2 linked regions of the Arabidopsis thaliana genome follow. The protein of the gene in region 1 purifies or fractionates together with the protein of each later gene. This does not show direct contact. Each region holds a gene or a part of one and is shown in the gene's direction. Other genes may lie near its edges.

The links.
Region 2: the proteins of ATB BETA (region 1) and SNRK2.3 purify together in Arabidopsis thaliana (affinity purification with western blotting, with the first as the bait; one study listed by BioGRID). This does not show direct contact.

What each region holds. Positions count from the first base shown.
Region 1 is NC_003070.9:6,092,672-6,100,162, reverse strand, and holds ATB BETA (Protein phosphatase 2A, regulatory subunit PR55), read left to right. Parts: upstream 1-1,723; 5' UTR 1,724-2,097; coding exon 2,098-2,203; intron 2,204-3,033; coding exon 3,034-3,137; intron 3,138-3,219; coding exon 3,220-3,315; intron 3,316-3,402; coding exon 3,403-3,522; intron 3,523-3,773; coding exon 3,774-3,950; intron 3,951-4,239; coding exon 4,240-4,331; intron 4,332-4,600; coding exon 4,601-4,719; intron 4,720-4,867; coding exon 4,868-4,991; intron 4,992-5,177; coding exon 5,178-5,301; intron 5,302-5,407; coding exon 5,408-5,476; intron 5,477-5,557; coding exon 5,558-5,649; intron 5,650-5,747; coding exon 5,748-5,825; intron 5,826-5,927; coding exon 5,928-5,995; intron 5,996-6,077; coding exon 6,078-6,214; 3' UTR 6,215-6,955; downstream 6,956-7,491. Other genes in the region: VPS46.1 (vacuolar protein sorting 46.1), read right to left, coding at 10-296, 629-953. UniProt on the Arabidopsis thaliana protein: The B regulatory subunit may modulate substrate selectivity and catalytic activity, and may also direct the localization of the catalytic enzyme to a particular subcellular compartment.
Region 2 is NC_003076.8:26,708,373-26,713,471, forward strand, and holds SNRK2.3 (sucrose nonfermenting 1(SNF1)-related protein kinase 2.3), read left to right. Parts: upstream 1-1,929; 5' UTR 1,930-1,962; intron 1,963-2,047; 5' UTR 2,048-2,324; coding exon 2,325-2,498; exon of another isoform or gene 2,499-2,835; coding exon 2,836-2,910; intron 2,911-3,003; coding exon 3,004-3,105; intron 3,106-3,178; coding exon 3,179-3,232; intron 3,233-3,332; coding exon 3,333-3,425; intron 3,426-3,538; coding exon 3,539-3,631; intron 3,632-3,712; coding exon 3,713-3,817; intron 3,818-3,893; coding exon 3,894-3,992; intron 3,993-4,069; coding exon 4,070-4,360; 3' UTR 4,361-4,571; downstream 4,572-5,099. Other genes in the region: AT5G66890 (Leucine-rich repeat (LRR) family protein), read right to left, coding at 4,572-5,099. UniProt on the Arabidopsis thaliana protein: Together with SRK2D, key component and activator of the abscisic acid (ABA) signaling pathway that regulates numerous ABA responses, such as seed germination, Pro accumulation, root growth inhibition, dormancy and seedling growth, and, to a lesser extent, stomatal closure.

The sequences.
Region 1 (7,491 bases):
GTTAGCTAATTAACCTCTGGCTTTAAGCTCGGCAAGTCTCCTGGTTAAATCATCCTCCTCAACTTTCTCTTCAGTCTTGGTAGGAATGGCATGACCAGCAGGCTGAGGTAGTCCAACAGAAACTTCAAGACCGTAATCATCTGCTACTTGCTGCATCAAGCTGTTGACTTCTCCTTCTGGAGTCGACAATGAAGTAGAGCCAGCCATTGCATTATCCATGAACTCAGCTTGGACTTCCATGTTCACAAACTGTTTCTCAAACGAATCCATCGTCTCAGACATCTTCTGTAAGTTGCCTGTTGCAAAGAACAAACCAGAAAATGATAACACGAGTTGCTACAGCACAACGTATAAGAGTATTATAAGCCCTATCTTCTTCTCCCTCTATACTACACTTACCAAAAGGAGAGAAATGCAACAAAAATTCATCACAGATCACAGAACATCCATGACGGTGAGAGAGAGCTATTCTAATATTTCATCAAACCAAACCCTAATGCATGATTCCATATCCTTCAATCAGCAAAAACAACAACAAGGAGCAGAATTTTTCAATCTATACTATAATGCTATGAGCACCAACAAAACCAAATTGATTAGATTGCTGAAAAGTGAGAATGTGAAATACCAGTGGTAAGAGACGATTCGAGGGATTTGACAATGTTGGTCATCGATTTGGTGATGGTAGCCATCTTAGCCTGGGTATCGAGTCGAGCAACAACAGCGTCCAATCGAGAAGAGAGACGAAGGTAGTTCATCTGCTCGCTGCGTTTGCGAATGGCGTTCTCGGCATAGATCCGAGCACCATCCATGTTACCTTTCTCAATGGCTTTCTTTACCTTGAGCTTCTCCGATCTCTCCTCTTTTTCGCACTTCCTAGCTTGCCTCTGCAGAGACTTTGACGTAAATTTCAATTCAAAGATCTGGTTCATCAGCTTATCTGTATTACCCATCTCCTCGATCAGTTAATCGGGATTCGCTTGTTTGATCAATCGGAATCGGAAAAAATTAGGGTTCTTTCGAATTTGGGGAAAGATATCTCAAGCGTGTTTCTTCCGCAGAAAGAGAGGTTTTAACTTTTAAACGAGGAGGCTTCCTAACATTATGTCCTAAATCGAATTGCACTGACTGGTTCTATTATTCGGTTATATCCGGTTTAAGTTTTAATCTTTTAATCCGTCACTGAGTCTGAGTGGTTAGTAGTTATAAAAAAAAAACACTCCTTTGACTTATTCGTTTCAGTTTTGATTATTCACCATCCAAATACATTTGGTATAAACTATAGTAATACTTTTTAAATTCATTTGATTTGTACTGGTTTCAATCGTTTTTCTTTTTTTCTACCGCTTGGGTATTCTCATGAGTTAATTTTGACCCCTGAAAGAAACTTGTAATTTTTCTCAAGTAAGATATGATAATATCAGATTAGAAAAAACAAATGTGCAATGGAATTCTATTTAGGATAATTTGGCAAAAATAATTATTTAGTACTTACTAATGATAATTATACATTTTCCCCCATCACACAACACAACAGTGGAAAGCGCAGCACCTCCACAACTGACCAATGATAGGCGAAAACATATGTCACTGTCCACCGATATGTAGTGGTCAAATAAATAATGTCACCGACTGTAACGCTAAGGATACTTTGGAATCAGGACAAAAACATTATAGTATTAGACATATTAACTTATACGGATTTGTTCCTTCGTTTTGGTCTCGAAGGAAAAAAAAAAGAAAAAAGTTATAATTCCACTTTTGTCCTTTTAGAGAGAGAAAAAGGCCAAGGCGTTTTTCTTCTCTCGTTCCTCCATTTTCTACAGAGAGATATATCAAAAATTCCATTTTCTACAGAGAGAGAGAGAGAGAGAGAGAGAGAGAGAGGGACGAAATATTAATCATCGATCAAGTTGCTTCAATCGCGAAAAAATCCATGAATAAAACTATGGAATGGAATGTGAATCAAAGGATTTGGTTATGGTGATGACGCGATCTTCGATTCGATTCGGTGATTAAAAGATTTGGAAGCTCAGATCTCAAGCTCGGATTTCTAATTTTTGTTGGATTATCTAACCCAAAAGCCAAAAAAAAAAAATGAACGGTGGTGACGATGCCGCTACTAGTGGTCCTCCTCCGTCTTTAGAGTGGAGATTCTCTCAGGTCTTCGGTGAGCGAACCGCCGGAGAAGAAGTTCAGGAAGGTAATTATTGCCTACGTGTGTTATAAATTGTGAGATATATTCGGAGTTTAGCTCTTCTTTTTTCTTTTAGATCCGGAGTGTATTTGAGGACTAAGGGTTTGATTTGTTGTTTGGATCTGATTAGTGAGTTATTCCTCTACTACTTAGTGGGTCATTGATGAATCTCTGTGGCTTTTATTGCACTGTTAGTAGAGTTTCTAAGTTCTATGACAAGTTTGGATTGTTGTGTATTATGTGATATTAGAGCATCTCTATTTAGCTGATTGTTGCGAGGTTGTAACTCTCATTTTTGTACAAGTTTCAGCTGTACTGCTGTAAATTTGAATCATTTGATACGCTGATGATAGTTTTAAGTTGAGATTAAGAGGGTAATCTAGCTTCAAGGTTTTGTCTGTTCAATGCCATAAGCCATGTATACTTTTTTCCACTGGTACAATGGTGTCTCGACTCTGTTTAACAGCAAGAAAGGCATATGAAGCGATGAGGGATTGGGTTGTCGAGGGACAAGTGTGAAGGGTTATCATTGGTCATGCATTTTGGGTTCATGAATTGAATTTGTAATATTGAGTTGGTCTATAGCTGCTCTCTTCTGGCTGATAAGACTTCCCGGAGTATTGATGTAACTAGGTTGCCTTCAGAGGCACTTTCCGTATTAGATAAATTTAATCTGCTCTCATGTTATTGGATGTAATCTTCTTTACCGGTTTACATACTCTATGTTATGGAGAATAATATACTAGCTGCACCTCAAGGTTATTATGTGTTTAGCTCCTACAATTTAGTGGTGACTTCTGATGTAATGATTCTGTTTGCACACATTTCTTCCGCAGTTGACATCATTTCAGCCATCGAATTTGATAAAAGTGGAGACCATCTCGCAACTGGTGACCGTGGGGGCCGAGTAGTTCTTTTTGAAAGGACAGATACTAAAGATGTGAGTTCCTTTTTCTTCTGCAAGATTTGTTTCGAAAAAATGTTATGTGCTGTAACGCACTCTTGCAAAATGTTACTTTCAGCATGGAGGGTCCAGGAAGGATCTTGAGCAGACGGATTACCCAGTTAGGCATCCTGAGTTTCGATATAAAACAGAATTTCAGAGTCATGAACCAGAGGTACATTAAAACTTATCACCAGATTTCACTTACGAGTAATTGTGTTCCTTGAGCTACTCAATAAGCTTGCTTTTCAATCTGTTTCAGTTTGACTATCTCAAGAGTTTGGAGATAGAGGAGAAAATCAACAAAATCAGATGGTGTCAGCCAGCTAATGGTGCATTGTTTCTGCTTTCTACAAACGATAAAACCATCAAATATTGGAAGGTGTGACATCTGGATGGATTTTTATATCACATGTCTGCAAAATATAGGCCACTTATAGCAATTCCTTTCTGTGTAACTCGGTTCCATAATCTTGTTTCATATGCTTTATAGTGTAGAAATATTAGGTGTCACGTGTGAAAACTGTCTAGAAACTGGTTTCTTTTGCTTCCAAGACTCAATTCAAAATAAGAGAAATAGTTTGTTTCTTTACTCTTATAATTTGACTCCTCCTCTTATTTGGAATCAAACAGGTACAAGAGAAGAAGATCAAGAAAATTAGTGAAATGAATATTGATCCGTCAGAAAGTTCAAATATCCCTCCTCAATTAGTTACTAATGGATTACCTGCTGATAAAGGGCATGACTACCTGAGCAAGGACTTTTCTTTCCCGCCAGGAGGCATTCCATCTCTGCGTTTGCCTGTGGTAGTTGTACTCGACGCAACTTTTTTTTACTTTTTGTTTGGGTGTCAAATGAAGTGAGTTTTAATTTCAGGATTCTGAAAAGTAAATGCGTATAGATATTAAGCCTGTTTTTTACTGGAAGTTGTGGATATTTTCTTCATGTTGATGATCCAGCTACTTGAGTTATGAAATGTAGGGAATTTACTATTGGCCTTGTTTCCTTTTGTCGTAACTAAAGCTCAGTACCAAATTAGTCTAATGCACTAGTCAATTTGTGTTCTACTTGAACTTATGGGTGTTTCTGCATATATAGGTTACCAGCCAGGAGACTAACCTTGTGGCTAGATGCCGAAGAGTGTATGCCCATGCTCATGATTACCATATTAATTCAATCTCCAATAGCAGGTAATCGTTTTCCTAAGTTTTCCCTCAGGTTATATGTTTTACTCTTGATATCTCTTTAACACGTTTTTGCTGTCTTTCTCCTTAATTTTTCCATCTCAGGAAACAATGCTAATATCTAAAAAATCCTTAGAATTTTATTTTGCATGTCTTTCCATGTCTGGTCGTGCTATTATTCTCTTTGTCGAAAATCTTGTTGATCCTAAATTTCACAACTTGTATTGCATTGTTTTGTTCCTTGTGGTAATGAATCGTTCCCTTAATTGTTACAGTGACGGAGAAACCTTTATTTCGGCTGATGATCTGCGAGTAAATCTCTGGAATTTGGAAATTAGCAACCAGAGTTTCAATATTGTTGATGTTAAGCCCACAAACATGGAGGACTTAACTGGTATGCTACTTCTCCTATTTTGTTAGATGTTACTTTGTATGGTCTTACCATTGATTCATATGTCAACAACCTCCTTACTTTTATTATCTATTTTTTTCACGTTTACTGCTTGTCGAGCATGCTTCTAAATGCTACATGGTCTGTGCAGAGGTTATTACATCAGCTGAGTTTCATCCTATCCATTGTAATATGCTCGCATATAGTAGTTCAAAAGGCTCCATTCGTTTGATTGATATGCGTCAATCAGCTCTGTGTGATTCTCATACGAAATTGTAAGTTCTGTTCTCATCATCCTTTATCGGAAATGGTAGTTGCATGTTTCAATATATACTTAAGAAGGGGATATGAATACGTGGGTTCATTTCCAATTTTTCTCTTTTCTTGTCAGAAATGACTTGGAAATGAAGATTAATAGGCTAAAGTTTCTGACCACTGACCATTGTTGCTTCATATCACAGATTTGAAGAACCGGAAGCACCTGGTTCAAGATCATTTTTCACAGAGATAATTGCCTCAATTTCAGATATTAAATTCTCAAAGGATGGGAGATACATACTTAGTCGCGATTACATGACGCTCAAGGTTGGAAATCATTCGGTTCCCTTTGTGTATATTTTTCTGATTGTGGGCCAATAGAGGTCTATTCTTTAGTTCTTTCTGATATCTTTTACCCTTTTTGACGTTTCAGCTGTGGGACATAAACATGGATTCTGGTCCGGTCGCATCTTACCAGGTTCATGAACATCTGAGACCCAGGGTGAGAGCTTCTTTCTGTGGCATCTTTTATTTGTTGATTCTGTGTTGAAAGCTAACCACGTTATGTTTTACCCGGTTGCAGCTATGCGATCTATATGAAAATGACTCCATCTTTGATAAATTTGAGTGTTGTCTGAGTGGCGATGGATTGAGGGTAGCAACAGGTTCTTACAGGTTGACTTGCTTGTCTTCTGGTCATTGCTGTACTTTTCTGTCTTGTATAAGGAATAAACTAATGACCAATTTATTATACTTAATCTCCGGTGAACCAGCAATCTATTCCGCGTATTTGGAGCGTCTCAAGGAAGTACTGAAGCTGCGACTTTGGAAGCTAGCAAAAACCCGATGAGGTAAATCAGAAAACAGAGAACATTGATAGTTAACCTTATTAAGTCATTGAAGTTTGTATTGATCAATTGTTGCAAAACTTTCGCATCAATGGTATATATTAGGAGGCAAATCCAGACACCTGCAAGACCATCCAGATCTATAGGCAGTATGACACGCGTGGTTAGACGAGGTTAGTGGTCATAGTACCTGTAAAACTTATTCAAGCTTTTACTACTCTCTTCTGGAGTAAAAAACTTTTGTTTTGGACGCAGGATCAGAGAGTCCCGGAACAGAGGCAAATGGGAACGCCTACGATTTCACAACAAAGTTGCTGCATATGGCTTGGCACCCAACAGAGAACTCAATTGCTTGTGCAGCAGCAAACAGCTTGTACATGTACTATGCATGAGTTGGGAAGAGAGAGAGAAGACATAAACATGGAATCAGCTTGCTCCAATTTAACTTTCCCTTTCTTCTTTTCCCGGGTCTCTCTCTCACTCTCTTTCTCTCTTTCTTTTAACAACCAAAGTCATGATGTAACCAGAAAAGGTGTAGTAGTAACAGAGTAATGCTGTGACCAAGACCAAAGCCTGACCAGTCACCGCGACGAGTCAACGGAAGAAGCAGCAACAGTAATCTTTCAGGAGTTAGTAAGGTAAAAAGTGTTGGGTTGGGAAAGAAAACAAGAAGAGGCCTTTTGTTTACCTGAAGAAGGGTAATGTCTTAAATATCCGAACCACCCCTCCTACTTAGGTTGTCTTTTTTTTGGGTTGCTGCACTAAGGATAAATTTTATTTTATTTTTTTAGTATCGATTCTATTACCTTTTTTTTTTCAATTAAGAAACAAATTATGGTGTGTGGGATTTTTTAGTATGAGACGATTGGGAGGGATGTGCTTCAAAATTTGTTTATTGATTCTTTTGTCATATCTTCTTCTTCTTCTTGAACACCACATCCATTCTGTTTTTTTGCTATTTGTCTATTTTTCAATTGTATTTTCAGACACCTCTTTTGTGTTTTTTACTTTTACCCACAATAAAAAGTAGCTTTCTCCTCCATTCCTCGTAGATTCTATTGTAAGCAAATAAAATTATCTTTGACTACTGATTGTAATACTTTAAAGGATGCGATGAATTGAATATATGTATCCTTACCTCAAGAAGAGTGTCGAGGGCAACATTAATATTACGTAACTTAATTTGATTTCTGCTAAGAAAAATGAAATGTTTGCCAATTGAGGTAGTGGATGCAGTGAAATGTAGTTTTTTCGTGGTGCCACAAGATTTACAACTAGATATAAAATATTATGTTCCTTGTTCTATATCACAATCTAAAGACACGAGGAAGAGAAATAAAAGAAGCTTGTTTTGATGCGTCTCTTCTGATAATGTCTGATAGAAGTATATTATTTTATAGATAGAGGATTACACACACACACACACATTTGTTTTGTTGTCATGCTAAGACTTGTTTGGTTAGAATACTTTTAATTGTTATTGAAGAAATCAAATACAGATGAATATTGAAAGATGTGGCTACCAAATGAAAAGATGATGTGATCCTTAACCCCTAGAATATTCTTTCTGCTTACAATTGTGATTTGTCACTCAATATTCCTTCCAAGTTGCAACCTTATTCCTTCCTAGTGCCTTCTGATGCAATTCCCATATATTTCGATAAATTTC
Region 2 (5,099 bases), on another chromosome or scaffold:
ACACTCACCACGTAAAAGTCAAACGACTAACAAAGAAGTCAGCTTATTTGGTTGATTTTGAGTCCTGCAGACAGTTTTGGTATAAAGTATAAACCAAAGGCCTCGTATCAATTTGAACAAAAGATCTCCACTCCATCCCGAAACAAATACTACCTTGCTTTTTTTTTTCTTTGTACCCTATTAATATTTTTTTGACATTTCTTTTGGTTCAAGTAAAAAAAAGGAGAAATTAGTGTTTTTGGTTGCAAATCTATTTGTAAATTAGATGTCAAGAGAAGTGTTACTTGCCCTAGTGGTTTATCACATATCCGACGTCAACCGGAAATATTAAATTAAAAAGTATGAATAATCTATCTTTGTATATCCGCATTTACATTTTTTTTTGTTTCTGGAAAAGTATCGATCCTGTTATATATACCTAAAGTTTAAAATGCGAAATAAGAAACAAAAAGAGTTTAGTTTATGAAAACATTATCATAATGATACCAAAAAGGCTAAGGAAAAACAAATTACAAAAAGGCTACATCATTTTTTAAAAGAGAGTGTGTGCTTCACATATAAACAAGGAAACGCATATAATAATCATCAAGTAGCTAGATGAAGCTAAAGAAGTAGTTAAGTGTGAATGCTTGGCAATTAAGATTGTGTTGGTTCATTTATTAACAATCTTTGACCACTCACTAATTTATTTTTGGCTCTCTCTTCTATATCATCACCGTTTTATCTTTATAAACCATCCCTCAAGACTCTCCCAATATTACATGATGTGTTTAATCCTCACGAATTCGCATGAATCAAAACCGGCTGAAAAACAGATGTAACATTTAAGTTAACATACTCACACCAATCTAAATTATTAGACTTTCATTCACTTTAACACATTTGTCCATACCATGATGATCATAACAATCAGTAGCTAAATCAATGTGAGTGTGGCTTAGATATTTGATCTGAATGATTCATGAGAAACATGGATACTTAATGTTCATGTGCATGTGCATATAATAGTATATTAATCTCACCAGTAGGATGCTTAGTATAGCAATAAAGAGAAGGTGGTGAAATTGATGAGCATCGGCCATTAAATTAAGCACTGACCCATTAATTGCGCACTTACCCATAAACACCATTCACTCCTTTTCATTAACTTAAGAGTAAAATTATACATACACCTCGCTATCTCTAACACTAGTCACACTAGTGTACCTTCCTCGGTACTCTTATCAATGTCTCGTGTCGCAATAAATCCATATAAAGATTTCTAACTAGGTCAATCCAACATCCAATTTAATACAACAGTCCTTAGTAGATTCTAATTTAAGTGTGTCTCTATATATATATGGACCGACAAAATCAATGACCTAAGATTTGACTATATATTTCATGCAAATATGATAAAATGCTATTCATCCAATTAATCATCAATATTGTAATTGGGCTGGCCTTTTGCTTATATCTTTAGGCATTTTCTTTAACAAAATTAGAGCCAGGCCCATCAATTAAATTGAAAAATGCTTAGAAGTTGTCACGTCACTGTCCATGTCATCCATGGTGGGATTGGGCTGGCCTAAAGGACTTTTCTATGTAAAAATTAGAGGCAGGCCCATCAACTAAATTAAAAAATGCTTAGAAGTTGCCACGTCAGTGTCAATGTCATCAGTGTCTATTTCTAACGCCGTCAAGTAACGGAATAACGCAACCGAATATTCTTTCATCACATGGCCGCTTCTGCAGCACGTGACTTTCAAGCTTCTGTTTTCCTTATGAACTAAGTTTTTCTGTTTCCTCCAAACTATTTTTTTTAATTAGAATATCTTGTTATTTATAACGAATATATCTTCTTCTTTTACTTATTTTTAACACAAATATTTATTTGTTTGATACGAATTCTCAAAATGAGAAAAACGAAGAAAAATAGAAAAAAATCGAAACGGATAAATACAGAGAATTTAGAGAAAAAAGGTTTGTATTTTAGGAGACAAGGACGAGTGAAGTCGTGCTTTTTCTTTTTTTATTTCATGTTAATTTTAATATTTTTGGGTTATAGTTTCTTAGGAAGCAACATCAATCATCAAAACGCGGCGGCTCTTGTCGTATCAAAGCAACTGAACGTTGTCGTTTTGGGACAATCCTTATCTCTTGGGGCAACCAATTATTGCCTTTTTTCTTCCTCTCTTTCCTTATTCGTTCTCTTCTTGAAGATATTTTTCCATTTATTTTCTCGAATCTTCTTCTTCTTCCTAGATTCCAGCGACTTAACAACAACAACAACAACATATTCTCTGCTGGGTATTAGATTCGAATTTCTCTTTTTGTGATCAGAAATGGATCGAGCTCCGGTGACCACAGGACCGTTGGATATGCCGATTATGCACGACAGTGATCGATATGACTTCGTTAAGGATATTGGTTCTGGTAATTTCGGTGTTGCTCGTCTTATGAGAGATAAACTCACTAAAGAGCTTGTTGCTGTCAAGTACATCGAGAGAGGAGACAAGGTTTCATTTTTAAAAATCTCATCTTTTTCTATTTTTGGAAGTTGATGATATTTATTTAGTCCAGTGATCGTTCATTTTTAGTGTTTGGTTTAGCTTTCACTTTCCAGATTTATTGGTTTCGTACTTAAAGTTAGCGTTTTTAGATTTTGATGATTATGCTTTTGAGTGCTTTTAATGTGATTTTAAAGATGTGAGCTTCCTAACACTTGAATGATGATTTTAATTTGTGATTTATGTGAAATTTTGGATATTGAAATGATTTTTTTAGTTGGTTTTGAGTGTTCTGCTTTTGTAGATTAGGACAGTTGTGAATGACTTGTAACTATGGGAGTTGCAGATTGATGAAAATGTTCAAAGGGAGATCATTAACCACAGGTCACTAAGGCATCCTAATATTGTCAGATTTAAAGAGGTAAAATTTATACACTTTTCTTCAGTACTTGTCTTTTTGGAATTTGTTAAGCCAGTGACTCTTTTAAACTCTGTTTCTTGTACTTGAGGATAGGTCATTTTGACGCCGACTCATCTGGCTATCATAATGGAATATGCTTCTGGCGGTGAACTTTACGAGCGGATTTGCAATGCAGGACGGTTTAGTGAAGATGAGGTTTGTATTTGGTTCTCTTATCGGGTTTACAGGTCTCCGGTTTCCTTATGGTTTGATCTCTTCTTGTAAACAGGCTCGGTTCTTCTTTCAGCAGCTTCTATCTGGAGTCAGTTATTGTCATTCGATGGTATGTAGAGAATCTGTTTCATGGAGCCTATGGACTGGTTGTATTCTTGTTTTTTTCTAACTTGTTGTTAATACTCTACTTTTTTTCATGTGCTGTGAAGCAAATTTGCCATCGTGACCTGAAGCTAGAGAATACATTGTTGGATGGAAGTCCTGCTCCTCGATTAAAAATTTGTGATTTTGGATATTCAAAGGTATCACAAATGATTTTGTTCTTTTGGTATCAGAAACTATACACTTGTGGTTCCTCCATTGTCATGTTCAAATGTGTTTTTAAAGTGTTTGCTTATGCATTTCTTTTTGACAGTCTTCTGTTCTTCATTCACAACCAAAGTCAACTGTTGGTACTCCTGCATACATCGCTCCAGAGGTACTGCTTCGTCAGGAATATGATGGCAAGGTAAAGGCTTTTAGAGAATTCCTCTGTAATCTCTGTATTTCTAAGGATGAATAGCCAATCATTGAGTGTTACGGTTACCAGATTGCAGATGTATGGTCATGTGGTGTGACCTTATACGTCATGTTGGTTGGAGCGTATCCGTTCGAAGATCCAGAAGAGCCAAGAGACTATCGGAAAACAATACAGGTAACCGCTTAAAACGTTGTTCCTTTTGTTCATCTCTTGATGTTCCTCTTATTCTCTTAATGATTCTGAAACACAGAGAATCCTTAGCGTTAAATACTCAATCCCTGATGACATACGGATATCACCTGAATGCTGTCATCTTATTTCAAGAATCTTCGTGGCTGATCCCGCTACCGTAAGTCATTCCCTTTCCTCATCTCTAATCTTTAAACCATCGGCGAGATGACTGATGTTTGATGTTGTTTGTTACAGAGAATAAGCATACCAGAGATCAAAACCCATAGTTGGTTCTTGAAGAATCTCCCTGCTGATCTAATGAACGAGAGCAACACAGGAAGCCAGTTCCAGGAGCCTGAACAACCAATGCAAAGCCTTGACACAATCATGCAAATCATCTCTGAAGCCACAATTCCCGCTGTTCGAAACCGTTGCCTAGACGATTTCATGACTGACAATCTTGATCTTGACGATGACATGGATGACTTTGACTCTGAATCTGAAATCGACATTGACAGTAGCGGAGAGATAGTTTACGCTCTCTAATAAAAAGCCTTTTTTAACAACCAAAACACTTCTCTATCTGTTCTAAGACCAGTAGTGTTCTGATCCTCTGGTTTCAAATTCTACCAATTTTTGTATTGTCTCTGTTTGTTTCTTGTTTTCTTCATGCACACATATATCATATATGTAATGTAAAATATCATCTGTGTATATTATATATATATTCCAATGTCACACAAAAGCAAATTAACAGTTAAAACAGTTGAAGCAAGTTGAGGTTATGTTCTGTTTTTTCCTCTGTGATCGTCAGATTCTTCATTTCTGGTTTCAATATTTTCCACAAGAACGCAGTATCTTCGTCGCATTTCACTTCCAGATTCTCTAGATTCTTCACAGAATCCGGTAACTCGCATCGATAACAATCTTTCATCGAAATCTTCTCAAGCTTCTTGAGCTTTCCAATTTCTAGAGGCAGGTTTTTCAGTTGGAAGCCACCAGAAACATCAAGAAACCGCAAATTGTCGAGTCTGTCAATCGTTTCAGGTAGCTCTAAGAGACTAGCACAAGAACTCAGTCTCAGCGTTTCAAGGTCCCTTAAGTCACCTATAGCTTCTATGACTCTGCAAAGCTTGTTACAATTTGTGACACTAAGCTTCTTCAATGAAACAACTTGAGAGATCCAATATGGTAATTCATCAAGATTGTAGCAATAGTCAATCTCGATTTCCTGTAGACTTTGTAAAGTTTCAGAAACATCTTCTAATTCGTTGAGAGCATCAAC